4 linked regions of the Mus musculus genome follow. The main gene of each other region encodes a partner of the protein of the gene in region 2 in a complex. Links are inferred from orthologs where the notes say so. Each region holds a gene or a part of one and is shown on either strand. Other genes may lie near its edges. The genes, in order: Cdkn1b, Ccnd1, Cdkn1a and Ambra1.

Evidence for each region.
Region 1: the proteins of Ccnd1 (region 2) and Cdkn1b are in contact, whole or in part, in a crystal structure (PDB 6P8F), measured with the Homo sapiens proteins. The link is inferred for Mus musculus from reciprocal best matches to the Homo sapiens genes CCND1 and CDKN1B. Residues at the interface, in NP_444284.1 of Homo sapiens: Met56, Ile59, Val60, Trp63, Glu66, Val67, Glu70, Glu92, Lys95, Lys96, Ser97, Arg98, Leu99, Gln100, Leu101, Ile126, Tyr127, Thr128, Asp129, Ser131, Arg133, Glu136, Gln139, Met140, Leu142, Leu143, Asn146, Lys147; in NP_004055.1 of Homo sapiens: Lys25, Pro26, Ser27, Ala28, Cys29, Arg30, Asn31, Leu32, Phe33, Pro35, Val36, His38, Glu39, Glu40, Leu41, Thr42, Asp44, Leu45, His48, Cys49, Met52.
Region 3: the proteins of Ccnd1 (region 2) and Cdkn1a are in contact, whole or in part, in a crystal structure (PDB 6P8H), measured with the Homo sapiens proteins. The link is inferred for Mus musculus from reciprocal best matches to the Homo sapiens genes CCND1 and CDKN1A. Residues at the interface, in NP_444284.1 of Homo sapiens: Met56, Ile59, Thr62, Trp63, Glu66, Val67, Glu70, Glu92, Lys95, Lys96, Ser97, Arg98, Leu99, Gln100, Leu101, Ile126, Tyr127, Thr128, Asp129, Ser131, Arg133, Glu136, Gln139, Met140, Leu142, Leu143, Asn146, Lys147; in NP_000380.1 of Homo sapiens: Ser15, Lys16, Ala17, Cys18, Arg19, Arg20, Leu21, Phe22, Gly23, Pro24, Val25, Ser27, Gln29, Leu30, Asp33, Cys34, Asp35, Leu37, Met38, Cys41.
Region 4: the proteins of Ccnd1 (region 2) and Ambra1 are in contact, whole or in part, in a cryo-EM structure (PDB 9IVD), measured with the Homo sapiens proteins. The link is inferred for Mus musculus from reciprocal best matches to the Homo sapiens genes CCND1 and AMBRA1. Residues at the interface, in NP_444284.1 of Homo sapiens: Thr286, Pro287, Thr288, Asp289, Val290, Arg291, Val293, Asp294, Ile295; in NP_001354397.1 of Homo sapiens: Arg54, Ser55, Phe57, Val73, His75, Arg96, Thr97, Trp99, Leu116, Ala139, Arg184, Ile945, Asn1012, Asn1029.

What each region holds. Positions count from the first base shown.
Region 1 is NC_000072.6:134,918,319-134,923,959, reverse strand, and holds the start of Cdkn1b (cyclin-dependent kinase inhibitor 1B), read right to left. Parts: upstream 3,560-5,641; 5' UTR 3,041-3,559; coding exon 2,566-3,040; intron 2,005-2,565; coding exon 1,886-2,004; 3' UTR 1,877-1,885; intron 1-1,876. UniProt on the Homo sapiens protein: Important regulator of cell cycle progression. Inhibits the kinase activity of CDK2 bound to cyclin A, but has little inhibitory activity on CDK2 bound to SPDYA. Involved in G1 arrest. Potent inhibitor of cyclin E- and cyclin A-CDK2 complexes.
Region 2 is NC_000073.6:144,932,841-144,937,730, forward strand, and holds part of Ccnd1 (G1/S-specific cyclin-D1), read right to left. Parts: intron 4,614-4,890; coding exon 4,454-4,613; intron 1,325-4,453; coding exon 1,176-1,324; intron 1-1,175. UniProt on the Homo sapiens protein: Regulatory component of the cyclin D1-CDK4 (DC) complex that phosphorylates and inhibits members of the retinoblastoma (RB) protein family including RB1 and regulates the cell-cycle during G(1)/S transition.
Region 3 is NC_000083.6:29,092,001-29,097,444, forward strand, and holds the start of Cdkn1a (cyclin-dependent kinase inhibitor 1), read left to right. Parts: upstream 1-1,768; 5' UTR 1,769-1,861; intron 1,862-5,444. UniProt on the Homo sapiens protein: Plays an important role in controlling cell cycle progression and DNA damage-induced G2 arrest. Involved in p53/TP53 mediated inhibition of cellular proliferation in response to DNA damage.
Region 4 is NC_000068.7:91,728,200-91,733,813, reverse strand, and holds the start of Ambra1 (activating molecule in BECN1-regulated autophagy protein 1), read right to left. Parts: upstream 3,677-5,614; 5' UTR 3,435-3,676; intron 1-3,434. UniProt on the Homo sapiens protein: Substrate-recognition component of a DCX (DDB1-CUL4-X-box) E3 ubiquitin-protein ligase complex involved in cell cycle control and autophagy.

The sequences.
Region 1 (5,641 bases), on a different chromosome or scaffold from region 2:
TCACAGCTTCGGGAAGAAGATTGCTACTGGCATCTTGTGGGGGAGGCCAGAGATAATGCCAAACATTCTAAAATGCACAGGACTGCCTACCACAACAAAGAATAATTTGGCTCAAAATGTCAACTGTGCAGAGGTTGAGAAACTCGCTCTATAAAATCTGGGTCAAAGAGGGTGAGAAAGAAAAGAAATTCAGGAACCATAACACATCAGAGTAGCATATTTTCGTAATCTTGAAAAATACCTGGAAATGCAATTATAAAATTATTCCTCCCCACCAAGTCGAGGAATGTTTACAAAATTGCAATTTCTTACTCATATGCAGCATATCTGCACGAGTGCTTTTGACTAGAGTCTTATGGTTGCTTGGCTAATAAATGCCTCTTTATCAGAACAGGCCAGGTAAAAATCCAGGCGGCTCATCTGAAAAGCTAGGCCAGAAGCCACACAAAGCAACTAAAGCTACAGGTGTGATGGCTAGTTAGAAAGAACTCCCATCCAATTCGACAACTTTATAGAGGGTATAATATGGAAAGTGACTCTAATGGCCATTTTCCATCTCTGAAAAAATGCTATGTCTGTAGAAGGTATATCATGACTTTATGATTTATAAACACAACAAGCTGGAACCCTGTGCCATCTCTATATTCCTTCATTTATTTTTAAATTTCAATAAATGAGGACCTGAAAAGTTAATAATAAACTGTTAAGATCTATTTGTATGCTGGGTTATAAGTGGGCTTTAGAAATAGAGAATGCTGGTTTTCTTCATAAGGAGCTTATAAACTATTATAAGTAGTTAGAGCATATGAATAGTCAATCTATGTAAATTTAGGGGCTGGGTTACTCTAATTAGGCAAGTGGGGTGATGAGATTTTTGACACATGGAAAAATCCACACTTGTGTTGGACCTTCTCAGTTGGTCCTAACATCTACTATCCATTTCCCCTATAAACATCCAAACCGTCCTGTTCCAGCAAATTAGCATACGGTGCTGACGTGTGGGAAGGCTGCTTCCTCTAGCTGTTCATTTAACTTCTGCTTTGTAACCTCAGGGTTAAAATCAATTCTGTGGGAGCATTAGTACTTCTGAACTTTCCAGTCTAATTTTTTTTTTAAGTATGAAGTTCCTTTCTCTCCAAAATTTACCAGCATACAAGGCACAACTTTAAAAAAAAATAAAAAAGTACCCAGAGGTGATGGCACACAACCTCTAATCTCAGCACTCAGGAGGCAGAGACAATACAGATCTCTGTGAGTTCGAAGCCAGCGTGGTCTACAGAGCAATTCCCAGAATAGCCCGAGCTGTTTGTTACACAGAGAAACCCTATCTCAAAAAACCAAAAACCAAAACAAAAGCAAAAGATAAAAAGAACTCGAGCCACGGCAGCTCTATTCACACTCCTAATCAAACGTGCACTATGGGTACCTAGTTTTTCTCTTAAGAACATACATGTAAGTATATATTTGCCATTTTTCTACAGTTCAAATGGTTCAAAATAGGCTATTGGCTCAAAACGAACCTCTGGGAAATGGGTTCTCATGAACTGAGACTGGAAAGGAAAACTGTCATTCCCAGCCTAAGTTTTAGTGGGATTCATAAGGATACGACCGTCCCTATCCTTTGGGGCCTTGGTGGCAAGTTCTTGCTTGGGAACCTCATTCTGATTCCACTTTAAGGTAAATATCTTGGGGTGCAAATACTGCATTATAGTCCCCTCAAGTGATTCCAGCCTTCCCCAGTGTTAATTTTTTTGATCAAGGAAAGTAATTCCTCCTGGCAGGCAACTAATCTGCCAGCAGTCCTGGGGTCTGCAGGCCCCCCGGGGAGCGCAGCCCAGATGGGGTGTCAGTTTTGTGTTCTTCCTCATTAACCCACCGGAGCTGTTTACGTCTGGCGTCGAAGGCCGGGCTTCTTGGGCGTCTGCTCCACAGTGCCAGCGTTCGGGGAACCGTCTGAAACATTTTCTTCTGTTCTGTTGGCCCTTTTGTTTTGCGAAGAAGAATCTAAGAGGGGGGCAAGGGGAAATTTTTAAGAGAACACACACAAACCATCTTTATTATCGACAACAATGGCTGACAGAAGTAGGCCCAAGGGATGAACAACCCACTCACTACCTCCACCCACGACCCCTGGACCCGTCATCCCCGGTAGCATCTAAGGACACAAAATAAGGTTGTTCCCACTAACACAAGGAGTATTCTACACCCCACGTCTCTTCCCCACCCCCATCCCCACCCCCACCCCCCCACCCCAGCCAAGGAGGAGGCAGTTGGTAAACATCCGAACTTTTGTCACGTATCTACAGCTGGCTAGAGGGGAGGAACTGTGATGCGTTCGGCTACGGAAGTTATCACATCTTACTATCTCCGGCTTCTGACTTCAAAATCATAAACAGGGCAAGCAGTCGGATAGGGGGTATGTCAAACCTAAGCTTCAAACAAGTTCGATTTCCCAGAGCTAAAGCAGAACACGCTGGAGAAAGCAAGTGAACAGGGTCTAGTAAAGGGGCGCTTACGGAGACAGACAGACAGACAGACATTTTAAGTTTTCCAAAGAGTCACTACCTTCTGCAGCAGGTCGCTTCCTCATCCCTGGACACTGCTCCGCTAACCCAGCCGGATTGTCTGACGAGTCAGGCATTTGGTCCACCAAATGCCGGTCCTCAGAGTTTGCCTGAGACCCAATTAAAGGCACCGCCTGGCGGCTCCCGCTGACATCCTGGCTCTCCTGCGCCAGCACCTTGCAGGCGCTCTTGGGGGGGCGCGGGGGCCTGTAGTAGAACTCGGGCAAGCTGCCCCTCTCCACCTCCTGCCACTCGTATCTGCCCTCCAGGGGCTTATGATTCTGAAAGTCGAAATTCCACTTGCGCTGACTCGCTTCTTCCATATCCCGGCAGTGCTTCTCCAAGTCCCGGGTTAGTTCTTCATGATTGACCGGGCCGAAGAGATTTCTGCAGGCGGAAGGCTTGGGGTGCTCCGCTTGTCTGGCGTCCATCCGCTCCAGGCTCGGGCTCCCGTTAGACACTCTCACGTTTGACATCTTCCTCCTCGGGCGGGTGTGGACCACCGCCTCGCCTCTCTCCGGAAAAAAAAAAATGAAATAAACAACAAAACCGAACAAAAGCGAAACGCCACGGATGGAGCGCAAAACCCTCTTCGAAGTTCTGCGACTGCACACAGACAGTCAAATGGAGCAGAGCCAGGCGAGCGACCGCCCGAGCCGCAGTAGCGCGCAGGTCTGGGGAAGAGAGGCGCAGGGACACCCCAGCCGCCGCGCAGCTCGAGGCTTCAGTGATCAAGTGTACTGGAGGGCGGGGAAGGGAGGGGAGGAGGCAGGAGGAGGTGGCAAACAGTCGGAGCGTAGGCTGGGGCGAGCCCGTGTGTCCCGCGAACGCAGCCCCTCTCCAAACCTTGCCGCCGCGCGAGTCTCGGAGCCGCGAGTGAGTCGGGACAAGGGATGAGGGGGGAAAACACCCCAAAAGCACGAGCCCCCCTCCTTTTTTAGTTGCCCAATATGGCGGTGGAAGGGAGGCTGACGAAGAAGAAGATGATTGACACTGCAAGTCTATTTAAACAGAGGAGGAGCTCCATTGGTCTCGGCGCCGGGAGCCGCTCCGCCCAGGCTGGCGAGCGCGCTCTTAAGGTGGCCCCGGGCGCGGCGCCGCCGCCTCTCCGCGCTCCCGAGCGCGCCGCCTCCCCGTAGCGCCGCCAGGACATTGGCTGGTCGCGTGACTACTCGGAGGTGTACGACTGCCAACAAACCTGCTCTGGCTGGCCCCGGAGAAATTAAAAATAAGACAAACAAACTAGCCAAACGGCCGGAGAGCTGGGGAGGGGCCAGCGCGGCGGCCAGGCAGGGACCCGGGGATCTAGGTCCCGGCGCTGCAGAGCTGCGCTGGCAGGCGCGTCACCGCTCCCGACTGCGACCTCCAGGTCTTTGCCCGCGAAACCTAGGGCCTGGACCAGTGGGCTCCTAGGTCGCTGGCGGCTTATTAGGAGCTTCGGTGGCTAGTTCAGCCCACCTGCATTCGCCGAGGTGGGAATGGAGGAGGGTATGCGAGAGATTCAGGAAACCTTGGCTCAGGGCCTGGGGCAGCCCACCCACCCCCACCCGGCAGGGTGCCTTAGCTGGGGTGCGGAATCGGCCGCTTAGCCTGACCCCAGAAGTCTCTGCTATGTAGGACAGGCCAGGAGGTGGTTTCAAAAAGAAGCCAGGACTGACCGCTCTTATCAGGGTGTTTCTGAATCCAAGCGCTTCCACCGTAGGATCTCGAGATTGAAAACCCCCAGTGCTCTCCCAAGCCTCTCTTTAGAGCCGTCCCAGACAGAAATCAGAAAAAGCCAGTTCTGATTTTCTTGGTTCCTAAGCACAGTGAAAGCCATTGCTATAGCGTGTGGGAACTCGCCTTTATACCCTTATGTTCTTTCCCGGGCGAAGCCGTTCCCTCCACCTGAGTCCAGACGCCAACTACAACAGTGCCTTCCTTCTCTTTTTTCTCCCACCAGCCTGTTGCTTCCAACCTACTCAGTACAATATTCAAATACAAGCAAATACTTTTAGAGAGCTGCAGGTTGTTAAAGGGCGAAAACACTTTCCTAAGGATCTAAGACTAGATTTGCAAGTGATTTATAATACCACCACCACGGTATTACCAACATCTAGTAATGTTGGGTGGGTTTTTTTCAGCTCCTTGGGCAACTTCACATTTCTCTATCACTGCTGAGCACAGTGACAGAAGTTAAAACAGAATAGCCAGGCCTGTCGTATCTCAGAGTTCAGTGAGATTTTAAGGGCTTTGCCCACTAGTATTCCCAAACAGTCTTGGTTTGCGCTAAACACAAAACATGTTACAGGAAATTAAATTTCTGGTTTAGTGTCCCAAAGAAGCATGGTTTTCCTATCTTCCTCTGGTGTAGGTGAGACTGAATATTGACTTGTTTTCTTAGCCACATCTTTGCCAGGATGTGTGTGTGTGTGTGTGTGTGTGTGTGTGCGCGCGCGCGCGCGCACGTGCACGTGTGTGTGTGTGTGTGTGTGTGTGTGTGTGTGTGTGTGTGTGTGCCTTGCCTCCTGCATTCAAAATGTAACAGTCCAGAAAGTTCTTAGATAGGTTTAGCCTCTTTTTACCAATGAGGAAATTGATACTCAGGTTTCCTGTCTGGGGACTTCTATTCAGTTGGTGGCAGAGTCTCCTCATTCTCGGCTGGTTTGGGTTTTGTCTGTTTTCTTCTGGTGGTCTCAGTGTTCCTGATTTTGTCTGGATTTGGATGGGTTGCAGTCTGCAGACTCTACTCTCTTACAAGGATCCAAAAGGTCTCTTTCCAGGCCTTGGATGCCCACAGATGTCTCCTTGATCATCAAGTGCAGCTGTCACAAGCCTTTGGTATCACTATCTACTAGTTCAGCTGAAATACAGATTCCAAAAAGATGGGTGGGGCTCATTGAGTAGGAAAGAAGGCAGCATCCAGGCGTGGACTTCAAATCCAGGCCTTCTGCACTGTTCAGTTGGGACCAAGGTGGGGAGTTGCCTCTTCTGGGGTGCTTTGTTTGCTGTGGTTTTGCACTGTGTTGGTCAGGCTGGCCTTGAACTCCTGGGCTCTGCCTCAGCTTCAGTAGCTAGGATGCTCAGCAAGACAAGAG
Region 2 (4,890 bases):
CGAGGCAGGCTTTGCTAAGAGCAAGGCTTGAGGAAACTCCCCAAGCCACCCCTAAATCCAGTGAGAGCTGCCAGAGACTAGAAAGGTACTGCTACTCTCTAGGTTCCTCCTCCCAGGCTGTACCCTGAACTTCCCCACAAGGAGCGTCTATCTCTCATAACTTTTTGCCTTGGGTGGCCTCTGAGAGAGGACAGCTCCAGCACAGGTAGGGTCTGGAAAGCATTTGCCCAGGAATAAGACTCATGAACTGAAGCCCTGCCTAGGCAGGCTGAAGCTAGGGCACTGTCTATATTCCTGAAGCCAGGAGGATTCCTGGGGAACACCTGGGAAGCCCCCACATTCAAAACTTGTGTATTGTTCCCCCTTTGTTTGATGAACACCATGGCTAGAGGATGGAAGGGCAATGGCCCCATTTCACAGATGGAGAAAGTGAGGCCCAAGTAGCCTAGTATGGACCCACAGACACCCTTCCCTCTCTGAAGCCTGTGGGCTCCAACCTGCCCACATACCCTATTCTCAGTTCTCAGGAGCCCCAGACACTTAGGGGAAGGGGGCTGCATGCTCTACAATTGAGATATGTAGGAATGGGGCACGGGGTGTCCCTGTGGCTGATGCCAGGCAGGGCAGAACAGCTGTCACACCTGGAAGCCTTCCACATGCCAGTGGCTCTGACCTCCATTGAACCCCCAACTGAAGTTCAAGCCAGAACTGGACTTTTGCCTGCCTATGCCAACTTGTGATGCCCTTGAGGAAACATTCACGGCCAGAGCCCCAAGCATGATCAGCTGTACTCCTTGGCAGAAAGGTACAGTTAGACGTAGCACAGTCTGCCTGATGCAAACCCCTCTCTCACACAAAGAAAGTTCTAGAATGTGTAGGTCTATACCAGAGTCCTTTATGGATTCAATCCCCAACGTCTGCACTGAGGGAGATATGGTCCTATGCTGGCTGGGCCAGACCGGGCTTCACATGCCACTACCCATACACATTGCAGGGGCACTGTCACCACACCACAGCCCTCTATGCCTTTGGGACCCATGACTCTGGGAAGAAGCTCGTGGGGACCCAGATTTGGCACCTCTCAGCTCCAGCCCAGTCACACAGTGCCTTGGCACTGCCCACCAAGGTTCCCAGGCCCTTGCCAGCTGTAGCCTCCTTTGATGAGACTTACTCACCGGGTCACACTTGATGACTCTGGAAAGAAAGTGCGTTGTGCGGTAGCAGGAGAGGAAGTTGTTGGGGCTGCCCAGGTTCAGGCCTTGCATCGCAGCCACCACGCTCCCAGCAGCTACCATGGAGGGTGGGTTGGAAATGAACTTCACATCTACAGCGAGAGGGACAGAGACATGCCTATGATTCAGCTCTCACCCACAGCCTCGGGGCCGGTCTTCAAGCCCTTCCAATGGATGCCCACATCAACTCTAGCTCCCTTGGAGACACCTAAGTGGCACTAGGTGCACACAGTGCTGCATCTCTAGACCCCAGCACATCGGAGGATTACGGTGTCCAGGCCAGAGCCTTGATGCTACCTGTCAATAAGGCCTTGGCTCAAACTTTAAAATGCTGCCTGGCATACACACCGGGTTCAATCCCCAGCACTTCCAGCAAACATCAAGGAGGGGTTGGCTATGTCGCCCTAAGAGGATGGAATCTATGAAGGTGTGGTGCTTTCACATCTGCATCCCAGTATTTGCGCGGCTGAGGTGGGAGGCAGGGATCTCTGTCTCTTCCAGAGTCAGCCTGGCAGCACCCCAAGGACTAGAGACACATCTCAGACACAGGAGAAAGCTGTAGAGATGACAGGCCCAGGTTCCTCAGAGGCCAGGCTAGACTCCACAGAAGGGAGTTAGCCTTCCCGGCTTACTGACCCAGGTTGGGGAAGACATGTGACCCCAGTCCAGGAAAACCCAGTAGGAATAGACTCAGAGGGAGCTGGGAATAGCCACCTCAGATCTCCAGGCCAAGGTCCCTCATGAGGGGCCCTGGAGTCTTAGGGACTCTCATATGTACATGTCCCAACTGGGAAGTAGTGGGGTGTCATTTTAGGACTTCATCTGGGGTCACCAACTCCACACCTCTCAGGTCCACTGGACTCAGCATCCTGCAGTTGTATGTCACACCGATGGAATGCCTCTCCGCATAAACCCACCAAAGATGAGTCTGAAAACTGCTTCCCTGTCACGTCCAACAAAGAAATAGTGACAGGGACAGCTGGTCACTTGGCCTGCGAATCAGGGCTTCCAGGCCAGAGGAGGACACAAGAATGAACAGATGTCAGCTCCCATCAATCATCTTGTGTGTCACCCAGAGCCTGGGATCAAGGAGGCTGGAAGGAATGGGATCAGGAAGGCAGAGAGTTGCTGTAGCGAGGTGGCCCTCTGGGGACCACCCTGAGAGAACATACAGCTTTGGCTGTTAAAGGGATCCAGCAGACAAGCAATACCTCCAGGTGGCACCAAGGACAGTTCATGCTAGTGAGTCCAGTGAACCAAAACCTGGCTATGGAGTCAAGTTCAAATCACAAACAGCCCTTTTACAGGGAGTGAGACTCCAGCCAGCAGGACCAGGAGTCCCCAGCCCCTTCCAGAGCCTGTTTTTCTCCCTCCCACGGGCAGTAGCAAGATCTGTTATGTCCTATAAGGATCCCTAGCTACTAACATCTGTGTCTTCACACTGGTTGCTGATGACATAGGTGTACCCTGGCTCAGTGGCATGTCTGACACCTACATACTTCATTAAGTTCAGTTTCCCACTGTCTGTATCCATCCACATAGCGCTCTGGCCACCTGTGTTAACAACCCCAACCCTAGCTAGCACATTGTTCAACTGCAGTCAGGAATCCAGGTTGGGGGGGCGGTTTGCAGAAGGGAAGTTATGCCTTCCCATCTCCTATAGGGGGAACCCCTGTCACACAGACGACAGATCTCCTGGCCTTGATGTCAGCATCTTTCCATTCACGGTGATGTCACACTGGCCTTTTCCCAAAGTGGTTCCTGTGTGACAAAGGAGCTGGTTGCTCCTACAGAGAAACAAATGCTCCAGACCACAGAACACTGGCCTACCGCAGGTCACCAAGCTGTCCTTTACCCCCACCTGTATTCCAGGGGCACAGACAAAGGCAGTAAGGAGAGCTGGAAGAGCTGAGTCCAGCTGTACCCAGATATAGCGCTTACTGGTTACTCTGCTGGCATCTAGGGGTCCCGGGAGGGGCACACTACTGCCAGAACTATCCTGGGGGAGGTTGTGCCTCTCCATCCCCAAGTTATCTCTGGGAAACTCTGCTGCCTCTCTGAAGGCACTTTCAGCTCCATAAAAGGCTGCCTGGAGCTTCCAAAGGCTCCGCTCTCCTCAGAGAAACCCCAGCCAGCTGCCTCCCTGACTGCCAGCAGGGCCACCCCCACCCCTTAGATCCTTCCAGCCTACTGATGGCCTTGCTACTCCCATCTGCCACCCCCTTGTTTGGTACCCTTGGGGCGGGCTCAGCACTCTCGGCAGGTAGTTGGCAAGCTAGAATTTCCAAATTCTCACACCAGCAGCTTAGAAACACTGGCTATGGGGCTGTCAGACATAAGAAGATGTCACTGAGACAGCGGGGGTGAGGTGGAGGTTGGGGGTGGGGGGAGATACTCTACCGGCCCTTCTGACATCACAGGCCAAACAGCTATAGCAACTGAGGTCTGATCAGGGCCACAGAGGAAGGGGGTCCTCAACAGGTGGGAGAACACCACACCCCCTCAATATTGCTAAGCCTCCTGGGTAGGGTTCTCAGTTAGAGGTGAGGAGCAGCTGTCAGAAGTAGTACTGAAACCACTCAGAAGTAGCAGGGTTGTCTATGTGTGTGGGTTCCTGCATGGCTGTCTACCATGACTTATGTCAGCCTAATCTACCTGGGGTCTGGGGCCAGGGAGGGTCCCTTGGAGGAGTCATAGGGAGGTTCTAGTTTCTCTGTTTCCAGCCAACCCTCCCAGGACTCAGCCAAAAAGTACTGGCCTGCAGTACCCCTGGTGGGGCCTCTAAGTTCCTGCTCTGGGACTGTACTGTATGTAGCTCGTGGGGCTGAGGCTGGACCATTTGTCCCATCCATGTAGGAACCCCTAGCAGGTGGCTCAGCCTGGGAGAAGCTGGTGTGTGTGTGTGTGTGTGCTCTATAGCTCGAGCTCCTTAAGAACAGAGGCAAGGCAGGAAGCCTAGGAAAAGAGGCAAAAACCTCTTCAGAAAGCATGCTGTGGCCGTACCACTTCCTGGCAGTGGAAAGGTTGGCACAGGGAAGCTGTGTCATTCTGTTAGGTCTCCAAGATACTAGCCAAGAGAATGTGCCACCCAGTATCATCTATCTCTCCAACAAACTATCTGCACCCTGGGCTCAGAATAGATAGCAAGGAAAGAGGCCTTAACCCCAGGGGGAGTGGCAAGGAGCCCGCTCTTCCTGGGAAGAATGGGGGTGGAGCCTTACCTGTGGCACAGAGGGCCACAAAGGTCTGTGCATGCTTGCGGATGGTCTGCTTGTTCTCATCCGCCTCTGGCATTTTGGAGAGGAAGTGTTCGATGAAATCGTGGGGAGTCATGGCGGCCAGGTTCCACTTGAGCTTGTTCACCAGAAGCAGTTCCATTTGCTGCAGAGAATGAGGAACACGGTCAAAAGGAAGGCAGGCTGATTCGAGAAGGTCTAAAGAGTTGGGTCAACCCGGGACCCCATACAGGTAAACAACAAAATGTGCCTGTAGAAATACTAAGGGGACAGACTGCGGACAAAAAGAATCTCCCACCGCCAGCGCCGTGGCCTGCACGTCGCTAGGGGGCGCACACCGCCCACATTTCAGAGTGGTTTCACCACAGACATGGTGGGGAGTCCAGTACGGAAAGAGGGCGGGCACAGAGGTAGAATGGGTT
Region 3 (5,444 bases), on a different chromosome or scaffold from region 2:
TTGTTTTAGAGGCAGGATGTCATGTAACCTTGATGAATTATTGGTCCTCCTGTTTCTGTCTCCTGAGTGCCGGGATTACAGATGTATGCCGCTATCATCTAGATGATGCCTTACTAGGGATCCAACTCCTGGCTTCATACATGTTAGGCAAGCGCTATATTAACGGAGCTACATCCCTTTTTGGATGCATGGTGATCTCAGATAGCTCAGGCTAGCCTTGAGCTCCAAATCCCCCCTGCCTCCCAAGTACCGTGATTTCAGGCATGTACCTCTATGCTTAGCTGAGATGGTGGTCTTGCTATGTAGCCCATGTGACCAGGCTGGATCGTGTAACAAGACTGAAGAAAACCCCCTTCTGCTGGGTGTGATGGCTCAGACCTGTAGTCTTAACTCTAAGCAAGGAAGTTAAGGCAGGAAGATTGCCTTGAATATGAGGGCCACCCTGGGCTACATAGCGAGGCCTCGTCTCAAAAGACCCCAAACAGAAGGAAATAAAACTGACTAGAGACATGGAGGAAGGTGGGAACGGAGAATGTCTTACTGCTATGTCTGTCAGGAACATCCGTAGATGTTTCTAGAATTGTCCTTTATCAATGTCATTTTAGTGGACTGTCTGGATCTTGGGAGGGGGAGTATTAGACATTTCCCTCATTTTGGACCCAGAGAAAGAAATCTGCAAGCAGAGTACTCTGGGCAGCTTGCCAGAGGTCAGCAGGTAGCCATTAGTGTGGTCCCAGTCAGGTCTTGATGCTCTCACTTGCAGGATGTATTATGGTGTGAGAAATGTTCACATGCTGGCTTCTGAAGAGGGGAGAGGGGAGGTAAGGAGCCTGGCGGCTGTTTTTCTTGGTAGTCCGTGGTCTGAGAACTGGACTCAATCTCCCCGATTTCTGAGGCGGTTGACAGCATCCTTTCCTTCTGTGGAACTGCTTTCCTCGTCTGTGAGACAGGGAGGAAATGATCGCGTTCTGGACCCGATGTCCGAGGGGCTTCTGGGAGGAGGGGGAAAAAAATCTCCAGACATAGTGGGACTTCTTGGGATTTTAAACTATTTTTTATTATTTATGGGCTTGTTTTGTTTTTGAGAGGGTCTCAATGGATAGCCCAGGCTGGTCTTGAACCTGTAACGCCCCTCGTGCCTCAATCTCCCAAGTATAGGATTCCAGGCTTTTGCTATCATACTCAAATGATCAATTTATTTATATTTGAAACAGTGTCACATATTTCAAGTTGGTCTCCATCGGAATAGGTAGCTGTCAAAACGACCTTGAATGCCTATTTCCCCCTCCTCACCCCCCACTGGGCGCTGTTATTACAGACGTGACCCCGCATGCCCAGTTTATGGGGCCCTGGAGCTCCAACCCAGGGCTTCACTTCCAGCAAGTTAGGCAAACACTGTACCAACAGACCCACCTCCCGAAACCCAGGATTTTATTTACTAATATCAGTGATCTGGAAAAGAGTTAGTCCTTCCCACAGTTGGTCAGGGACAGACCCATAAACACTCACTCAGCTCTAACTGTACTGTTGTTCATAGATGTATGTGGCTCTGCTGGTGCGCTGCGTGACAAGAGAATAGCCCAGGTGTGGGGGAGGGGAGGGCGCGCCCTCTTAACGCGCGCCGGTTCTAGCTGTCTGGCGCGGGCTTAGATTCCCAGAGGGGAGGGCGGGCCAGCGAGTCCCCGGGATCGGTGAAGGAGTGGGTTGGTCCTGCCTCTGAGGGGGCGGGGCCTGGGCCGACGCTATAAGGAGGCAGCTCGACGCCAACTGCAGCAGCCGAGAGGTGTGAGCCGCCGCGGTGTCAGAGTCTAGGGGAATTGGAGTCAGGCGCAGATCCACAGCGATATCCAGACATTCAGAGGTGAGAGCTTCGTGGCAGGGAACAATAGTTCTTCCCCGTAGCAATGCGCTGAGCCCAGTGGGTGTCCCCAGAAGTGTGTGTGTGTGTGTGTGTGTGTGTGTGTGGTGATGAGTGGATCACCTGTGTGTGTATATGTGTATTTGTGCGTGCCCGCCAGAGTCACAGGTGTGTCCGCGGCAGGTGGATGACGGGTGTGGGTCTGAGCGTCCGTGGTGGCTGAAGGCTTCGTTTGTTGGAGTGTGACGAGGGTCAGGCTATGTCGCGGACTCGGCATACAGAGTCTGAACTCCAGGACCACGGATGGCAGCCACTCTTCCAGTCCTTGGAGACCGGGTCCGAGCGATGGCTGGCGGGGATCGGCTACCGGGAGCTCGCTTCTGGTTGCCAATGTTTCTAGGGATTCCAGGTGCGGCTCGCCCAAAGCGTGAGAATGAAGCTCACGGTGCCCCGAGATGGGTCCTGGGTGGCGGTTGTGACAAGCTTCGGCGAGTCTATCTAGAGCTTAGCGCAGAGCGGTTCTCCGATCCCATGGGTGCCGCCGGATCCCCGGTCCTTGTGAACCAAGTGCCCTGTTTCGCGGTAGCCACCACCCCACTGGGCTCTGAGGTCAGCGCGAGCTGTGTCCTCCGCCCTCGGGATCGTGCCTGGGCACGTCCTAGAGGACAGGCGAGGAGGTGACTCATTGTGACAAGGAGACCCCGGGCACTGGATTGAGACCAGAATCGCGCCACAACTGGGGATGGGTCAGTGGCAGCCCAGAAGCCCCTTTCCCTGCCCGGGTACAGCCTCGTTCCTGCCCCGTCCCCTCCCCCGCGCGGCACAGTGACCTATTTGGCGGGCACAGTATGTTCCCAGGGAACCCGGGACACGGGGAGGTCCAGGACGCGGTGTCCGGTCCCCGCTCGGCGGCGCGCCCTCGGGGACAGGGAGTCTGGGCGGGTCCTGTCCACCCTGCCAGCCCGGGAAGCGCAAAGGGTCCCACCCACCGCGCCCACCACGACCCGGACCAGTGACCGTGGGGCGCGAGAGGAGCCCGCACTGTAGAGCGGCCGGTATCCTCGCGGAGTGAGGCTTACGGGTGCCGTACATCAGACGCCCCGGGGCTGGGGCCCTCGACCCAGTCCACACCCAGTGTAGGAAGGTGACCAGGCTGAGTGCGCCCACTAGGGCACATCCATTCCACTCGGAACCTCCGGGGACAAGGGCTACACTTGCACCCTGGTCGTGCGGGAAATACTTTGGGCTTGGGTTTGGCATTTGGGGGCGCGCTGGCAGCTTCCTCTGTCCCCTACGTCGCGTTTCAGAGAGGACACTCAGGCGGTTTTTTGTTGTCCTCGCCCTCATCTATTTTTATTTTCCAGGGATCTGACTCATCGCGTGCTTTGGGCGTGGAGATCAAGGTGGAGGGGGCCAGAGCTAAGAGCACTTTCTTTGCTCTCGAGTGTCCGTGCGTGCGTGTGTGCGTGCGTGCGTATGTGTGTGTGTGTGTGTGTCTGTGTACGTGCGTGTGTGTGTGTGTGTGTATGCGTGCGCGCGCGCGCGCTCAGTCTGGTTTCCCAACATAGGCGGGAATTTAGGAAGCCTGGGCTCATCGTGACGTGTTTTGTGGCCCGGGGTCCCCCTCCTTTCCTCTCCTCTCTCCACCCCAGGGTGACGCGCAGCTCCGGTGCCCAAGCAGTTTTGGCGGGCGGGCAGCGCCGGGCAGGAAACTGACTCACCACTCCTTGCTCGGCCTACGCGCCGCCTACCGAGCGCCATTTCCTGAGTGCACAGCGCCCCCTACCGGCATCAGTGAGGACTGCAAGGCCGGCTAGGCGCGGGTGGCACCACGGGCTTCTGCCACCCCCACCGCGGCTTAAAGGGAATTAAAATATGCCTGATGGCCAGATACAAGTGATTTTAGCAGGGTGTGCTAGCGGACTATTAGGGAGGCGTGGCCCTTGAGAGACAAGGTGGAGATCGTGCCCCTCTTGGGTTCCTGGTCTTATCTTCAGCTATGAAAAACTGGGGACTATCCAGCCTTAGCCGAGTCCATTGGTGTCTTCCCTTCCTTCCTCTGGCCCCTGTGAGCTACCGTCTGGGGAAGGGCACCAAACTTGTTTTTCGGCTCAGTTTGTCTGGGGAAATGAGCCAATCTATATTTCTATATCTATATAGATCTCTCTCTCTGTCTCTGTGTGTGTGTGAAAGAGAGACAGAGACAGAGAGACAAGCTTACAAAATGGCCCCAGCTACCAGTACTATATAGACAGGCTGGCCCAGTGGCCTGGAACTCATAAGGATCACGTGCCTCTGGTGGAGTGCTGGGATTAAAGACTCTCCCCATAACATGGAGCTCAGTCTATATTTAATAAAAAAGCTTTTCCAGCTGATTTTAATGGAGTCCTCTGGTCATGCCCCTCAAGGTGAGAAGACGAGAGAATGATCAATACTAGACCAAAAGGGTCTGAATTCAAACCCCGCTTGTGAGCCCTGTGCCTTTGGACACACATTCTGAACCTGGATTAGCTCTGCCGTAAAAGAATGTGATATTGCCATCTATTAACGATAGCTTTTGGTGGCTTACAACTGCAATCCCAGCACACTAGAGGCAGAGGCAGGAGGATGACTGAGTTGTACTAAAGGATGTGAATAGGCCCCAAGCTCTACCTGTAGGCAGAGGCCATCTGAGGTCCTTTAGGCCTCTGAGGTCTGCACCTTGAGAATCCTTTTGCGGGCAGTGGGAATCCTTGTTAGACCTGTGTTTCGGTTGGTTGGTGTTTAGCCAGGCTCTCACTATGCACACCAGGATGGCCTTCAACTCACAGACATTTTGCCTCTGCCTCCCGAGTGCTGTGTTTTGGGAATTGGCTGTTTTACTTATTTATGGAAGCCACAATGCTGGCCACGTTCCCTATGTAGTAGCCAAGGTAGACCCTGAACTTCTTTCCCTACCTCTGCCTCCAGCGATTACAGGTGTGTGCCGCCACACCCAGTTTTATAGAGAGCTCCTTGCTTAGCACAAGGCCCAGGCTTTACCATCGGGGCCCCAGACGCTTCATCTCTTCTGGCTTCCTACCTTGAATCATAGTCTGGGTACCCCCTTCTCTCTTCCAGCTGTGGGCAAACTCACCCTGAGGTCTTAAGGAGCTGGGCGTGTGTATGTGTGTGGTAGTGTATGTGGTAAGAGCCCAGGGGGTCTTGCCTCAGGAAGCCACTGGGGCTCACCTTGCAAGCTCAAAGGCCCTCCTTAGAAGCTGCATCCCCTAGTCTTGGAGTCAGGATGGGCCACTCAGGTATCCCTCTTTCCTGGAGAGGAGCCAGGTAAACCAACACCTTTAACTTTTTTTTTTTTTTCAGTGCCTGTAAAACGGGTTCCTTGGGCACAGGCTATAGGCACGTCTGGGGCTGGGAGGTGTCTAGACTCCAGATTACCTGATCTGCCTGGCAGGATGTGGCTCAGCCTGGGAGAGAGCCTTAACCCCGCTCCACCCCTTCAGACTCTCCTCTCCCCCAGGCTACTGCCTCCCCCCAGGCTGCTGCCTCCCCCCAGGCTACTGCCTCCCCCCAGGCTGCTGCCTCCTCCCAGGCTACTGCCTCCTCC
Region 4 (5,614 bases), on a different chromosome or scaffold from region 2:
AAAAAAAAAAAAAAAAAAAAAAAAAGGTTGCCAGGCATGGTGACGCATGCCTTTAATCCCAGCACTTGGGAGGCAGAGGCAGGTGAATTTCTGAGTTTGGGGCCAGCCTGGTCTACAGATCTACAGAGTGAGTTCCAGGACAGCCAGGGCTACACAGAGAAACTGTCTCGAAAAACCAAAAAAAAAAAAAAAAAAAAAAACCACATAAGGTTTTCAGGGCTGGAGAAATGGCTGAGTGGTTAAGAGTACTAGCTGCTCTTCCAGAGGACCTGGTTGTTCAATTCTCACAACTGTCTGCAACTCCAGTTTCAGGGAATCTAACACTGACACAGTCATAAATGCAGGTAAAACACCAATGCACATAAAATAAATAAACATTAAAAAAGGGGGGCTGGTGAGATGGCTCAGTGGGTGGGAGCACCCGACTGCTCTTCCAAAGGTCCAGAGTTCGGGTCCCAGCGACCACATGGTGGCTCACAACCATCTGTAGCGGGCTCTGACTCCCTCTTCTGGTGTGTCTGAGGATAGCTACAGTGTACTTACTATAATAATAAATGAAAAGTCTTTAAAAAAAAAAAAACATTAAAAAAGAAAAAGCATTTTCTCTTTTAGTTAAAAAAAAGAAAGCAGTTTATTTCAGTAACTCTGGTCCAGGCCACATTCCAGAACACATTCAGAAGCTTTCGTCTTTCTTGTCTCTGTTGTTGGTTTCTGTTGTTGTTTCTTGAGGAAGTCTCAGGATGTTAACTCAGGCTGACCTAGAACTTACAATCTTCCTGCCTCAGTCTCTCTGGAGTGTTGGAATTTAAAGTATGTACTGCCACAGCTATTTGAAGCTTATATCTCTTTTTTTCTTTCTTTCTTTCTTTCTTTCTTTCTTTCTTTTTTTTTTTCTGAGAGGGTTTCTCAGCCTCGAACTCAGAAATCCGCCTGCCTCTGCCTCCCAAGTGCAGGAATTAAAGGTGTGAACCACCAACACCAGGCAGCTTATATCTCTTAATTATCCACAAGAACCATCTTATGAAAATACAGAATAACTCAGTCATAATGTGAACATTTCTGAAATCCCAGGAAACAGCCCAAATTGACTTCAGTAATTGTCAAGCAGTGGTTCACACTGGTAATCCAGTAACTGAGGTGGAGGCAGGAGGATCAAAGAGCTCAGGCCGTCCTCAGCTGCACAGTCAATGAAGCTAGCCTGGAATATAAGGGATCCTGCCTCAAAAACAGCAACACACAAACAAAAAAAAGCATACAAAAATGAATCAAGTAGCCAGGCAGTGGTGGCTTACACCTTTAATCCCAGCACTTGGGAGGCAGAGGCAGGTGGATTTCTGAGTTCGAGGCCAGCCTGGTCTACAGAGTGAGTTCCAGGACAGCCAGGGCTACTCAGAGAAACCCTGTCTAAAAAAAAACAAAAACCAAACAAAAAAAAAAAAACAAAATGGCTCAGATTACTATCAAGCCAGATGACCTGAATTCACTTGGGAACCGTGTGCCAGAGAGAAATGACTCCTGGAAATTGTCCTCTGACATCCATATGCATGCATGGCATGCCCATGTGCAGACAGACACACAGACACACAATCAATCATTCCATCAATCACCTTCATTTAAGTATTACTGATCTCAGGGGTAGGGATGTAGCTCTGTGGAAGAGCACGTGCGTGTGACCTTGGGTTCAAAATTCCCAGCACTTCTAAAGGCGAGAAATAATAATAAACCTCACTGACCTTACACATACATTAAAGGAAAAATTAGAGAAACAATGTAAAATTCTATCATCTTTCTAAAGTTCCTGAAGCATCTTTTTTCTTTTTTTCTTTTTTTTTTCGAGACAGGGTTTCTCTGTATATCCCTGGCTGTCCTGGAACTCACTTTGTAGACCAGGCTGGCCTTGAACTCAGAAATCCGCCTGCCTCTGCCTCCCAAGTGCTGGGATTACAGGCGTGCGCCACCACGCCCGGCCTGAAGCATCTTAAAACTGTGCAGAAACTGATTTTCACAATCTATACACCCTTAAAATCAACTCTCCTATGACTTCTATATAGTGTGGAAACTTACCCAACATCAAACAACCTCCAAGACTTTTTTTTAGGATCAAGACATTTGATTAAATGAAATTAACAAAAACACTTAGACCTTAAGGCCTTGAAAAAGAAAAGAGAGGGCTGGCGAGATGGGTCAGCGGGTAAGAGCACTGACTGCTCTTACAAAGGTCCTGAGTTCAAATCCCAGCAACCACATGGTGGCTCACAACCACCAGTAATGAGATCTGACACCCTCTTCTGGTGTGCCTGAAGACAGCTACAGTATACTTACATATAATAAATAAATCTTTAAAAAAAAAAGAGAGAAACAGTAAAGTTCACAAATGATTCATCTTCAATTATGTTTGAATAATTTCTACACAGACTTTTGAACTCTTGAATAAAATGACTAAATCACTAACCAAATAAAAAAAAGTTTCAAAAGAGATTCCTTGGATTCCCTCCTAGAAAAGACCTCCACAAGACAAGAACCTGAATTCAAAGTCTTAACCATCTTAAGCATCTTCCATCTTGCACTAAGTACTTAACACCATAGCAGAAAGTTTCAGAACAAGCTGAAGAGTGGAATCAGTATTAATCAGAAGTAAAGTGGAAGTAAACAAATTATTTATGAGTAAACAAAACTAAACTATCCTTACTACTTTTGCTAAAACGATACAAACTTCGAAAAAGCAAACCCAGTCAAAAACATCACTTGCTCCCTTAATGTCTGAAGCCTCCAGTAACACAATATATGTTTCTAAGAAAGAAGAGTTCCAAAAAGTCAAATGAGAGACTGTTAAGTAAAAAGTGACCAGTAAAATGGGAGAATTGTGAACTGTTAAAGACAAAAAAAAAAAAAAAAAAAAAAAAAAAAGAACCTTACAGCACATTTAATGATCTGTCGAGGTCACAGGGAAAAGTCACGTCCCCTACCTCAGCCTCGGTTTCCCTACCCCAAAAGACTATAAGTGATATTTCGTTCCTAGGAGCTGGAGGGCCTAGTTTCAATAGCCTCCACCTACTCAAAAGGGCACTCCGAGGCTGAACTCAGTAGGGGTCCCCAGTGCAACTGAGCATGACATCCGGAACCGGAGTTGTAGGAAAGGAGAAAGGGAATAGGGTCTAAGAAAGCCAAGTTCCTACAATCTAGGGGTGACGACACGCGTCCAGGACCCGACATCCCCTCTCTACGGAACCCGGCCGGCAGCTTCAGCATCTCTCCCTCCTTCCGGCTTCTCGCTCAGTTCCGGGCCGCCCTCCGGCCGCGCCCCCGGGCGCAACCCCCTTCACAACGCGCACCCCGGCGGGCCGCGCGCTCGCCCACCGGCCGGCGCTAAGGTCTCCTCCTGCCTTGGGCGGAAGGATGCGGGACCGGGCCTCCCAGGCTCCTCCCGGGCCTACCTGCGAGGAGAGTGAGAGCTCGGCCCGAAAGCCAGCGAGCGCACGGAGCCACGGACGGAAGGCGGGGAGAGGCCGAAGAAAGCGAGGGGTCCGCTCGACCGACCAGCGGAAGAAAGCGGCCAGAGCCCGGGGCCTCCGGGATAACTCAGTCCAGGACCTGGCACAGCCGCCGCCGCTCCGGAGACATCAACCAAGAAGACGCCGCAAAAGATCATCGAACACACGAACGCCCAGACATCAAAGGAAGAGCGCCCCAGCAATCGTTCAAGGCACTGCAGCCGAGTGCCGAAACATTGCTCAGCTCCTGCTGCAAATCCGGCTGCCTTCCTAGGCATAAATAAACAAATCCAGATCATTAAACTATAGCGTAGAGTAGGCTGGGATTCTGCCATTTTCTGTTGGTGACAGAGTGTTAAAGTAATTTAGAGAACTAAATTTTTGAGACAGGAGCACGCTTGTAATCCCTGCTTTTTTTTTTTTTTCCTGGTACTTTTTTTTTTTATTACGTATTTTCCTCAATTACATTTCCAATGCTATCCCAAAAGTCCCCCACACCCTCCCCCCGTAGTCCCTGCATTTTAGGAAAGGAGGCATGAGGATTTGGAGTTCAAAGTCATAGTCAGTTAAGCACAAGGCCAAACTGGACTATATGAGACCTTGGTGGTTTTTTTTTTTTGTTGTTTTTTTGTTTTTTTTTTTTTTTTTTTTTTTTTTTTTGGTTGGTTGGTTGGTTTGGCTAGGTTTTGGTTTTTGTTTTGTTTTTTGAGTGTGTGGTTTTCGAGACAGGGTTTCCCAAGTGCTGGGATTAAAGGCATGCGCCACCAAAGACCTTGTTTTAAGTGAAAAAGGAATTAGCCTTTTGTGAGCACATTGATTGAAGATAAATCATAGCAGAATAAAGCTCGTCTTAATAGTTCAACGACTGCCGTACACTTAGAGACTTCTCACACTACTTGTCCCAGTTGAACAAATGACTTTACCACTTTATTCTTGGTTTCCCCTCAGAGCTGAAGAACAATCGCTATGAATGCTCCAGGTCAGCTTTAGAAGAATATCCAAGAGAAAATGGCACACCTTAATGTGGGAAGGGAAAGTTCCTGTACCTTGTTTTTAAATTTTTATTCTTTGGTTTTGTTTTGCCAGACAAGGCTTCTCTCTGTGTACCCTTGGCTGTCCTGGAACTGGTTCTGTAGACCAGGCTGACCTCCAACTCACAAAGATTTGCCTGCCTCTGCCTCCGGAGTGCTGGGATTAAAGGTGAACACCACAACCTCCCAGCCTATTCTATTCTTTCTCAAAAAAAAAACCACTTACTTCTCTTTTATTTTCTTCCAAGGATCTAAAGCCACAGTCCACAGTGTGCTTTTAGTTAGCTTCGTAGCTAGTTCACTAAATAGTTTTTAGAGACAGGATTTTGTGTGGCACACACACTGGTCTTGAACTCTGTGTATCCAAGAATGGCTTTGAAATTCTGATGTGCTTGCCTTCCTGTTCCACATTTGCAGTGTGCCTGAGGGAGTGTGAGAGACTGCAGTGGAGGCTCACACTCTATAGCTTGGCTGGCTTGGAACTCACTATGAAGCCCACGCTGACCTCAAGCTCACAGCAATCCTTTTGCCTCAAGCTAGTTGAGTGCTGGGATTATAAGCAACCATGCCTGGCTTTTTTTTTTTTTTAAACAGAATCTCACTATGTAATCCATATTACTTCAAAGTCTATCTTCCTCCCTCTGCCTCCTACTTGTTGGAATTACAGGCTTTTACAGACATATTTGATTTGTAGCTGATCCTAACTGTACTGGCCAAACTCCATACTGTACAATCAGTACATTTTATTTCTAGATATTTTTCATGTGATAGGTATTTGCTACTCTTGAGAAAAGGCAATTACAATATTATTGTTTATGATTAGGTCTTCTTGGACATAAGCAAACAAAAATGATACTGTATATCTTTACATCTTTAATCCCAACTTTCTAGAGGCTGAGGCAAGGGAGATTGCAATATGATTGTTTGAGGCCAGCCTTGCCCCCCCCCAAAAAAAGCAAGCAAACAAACAAAAAACTCCAAAAGAGCTACACATGCTAGCCTATGCCTTTAATCTCAGCACTTGGCACTCAGTAAGCACAAGCAAACTGATCTCTGTGAGTTCAAGAGGCCATCCTGCATCCTGATCAACTC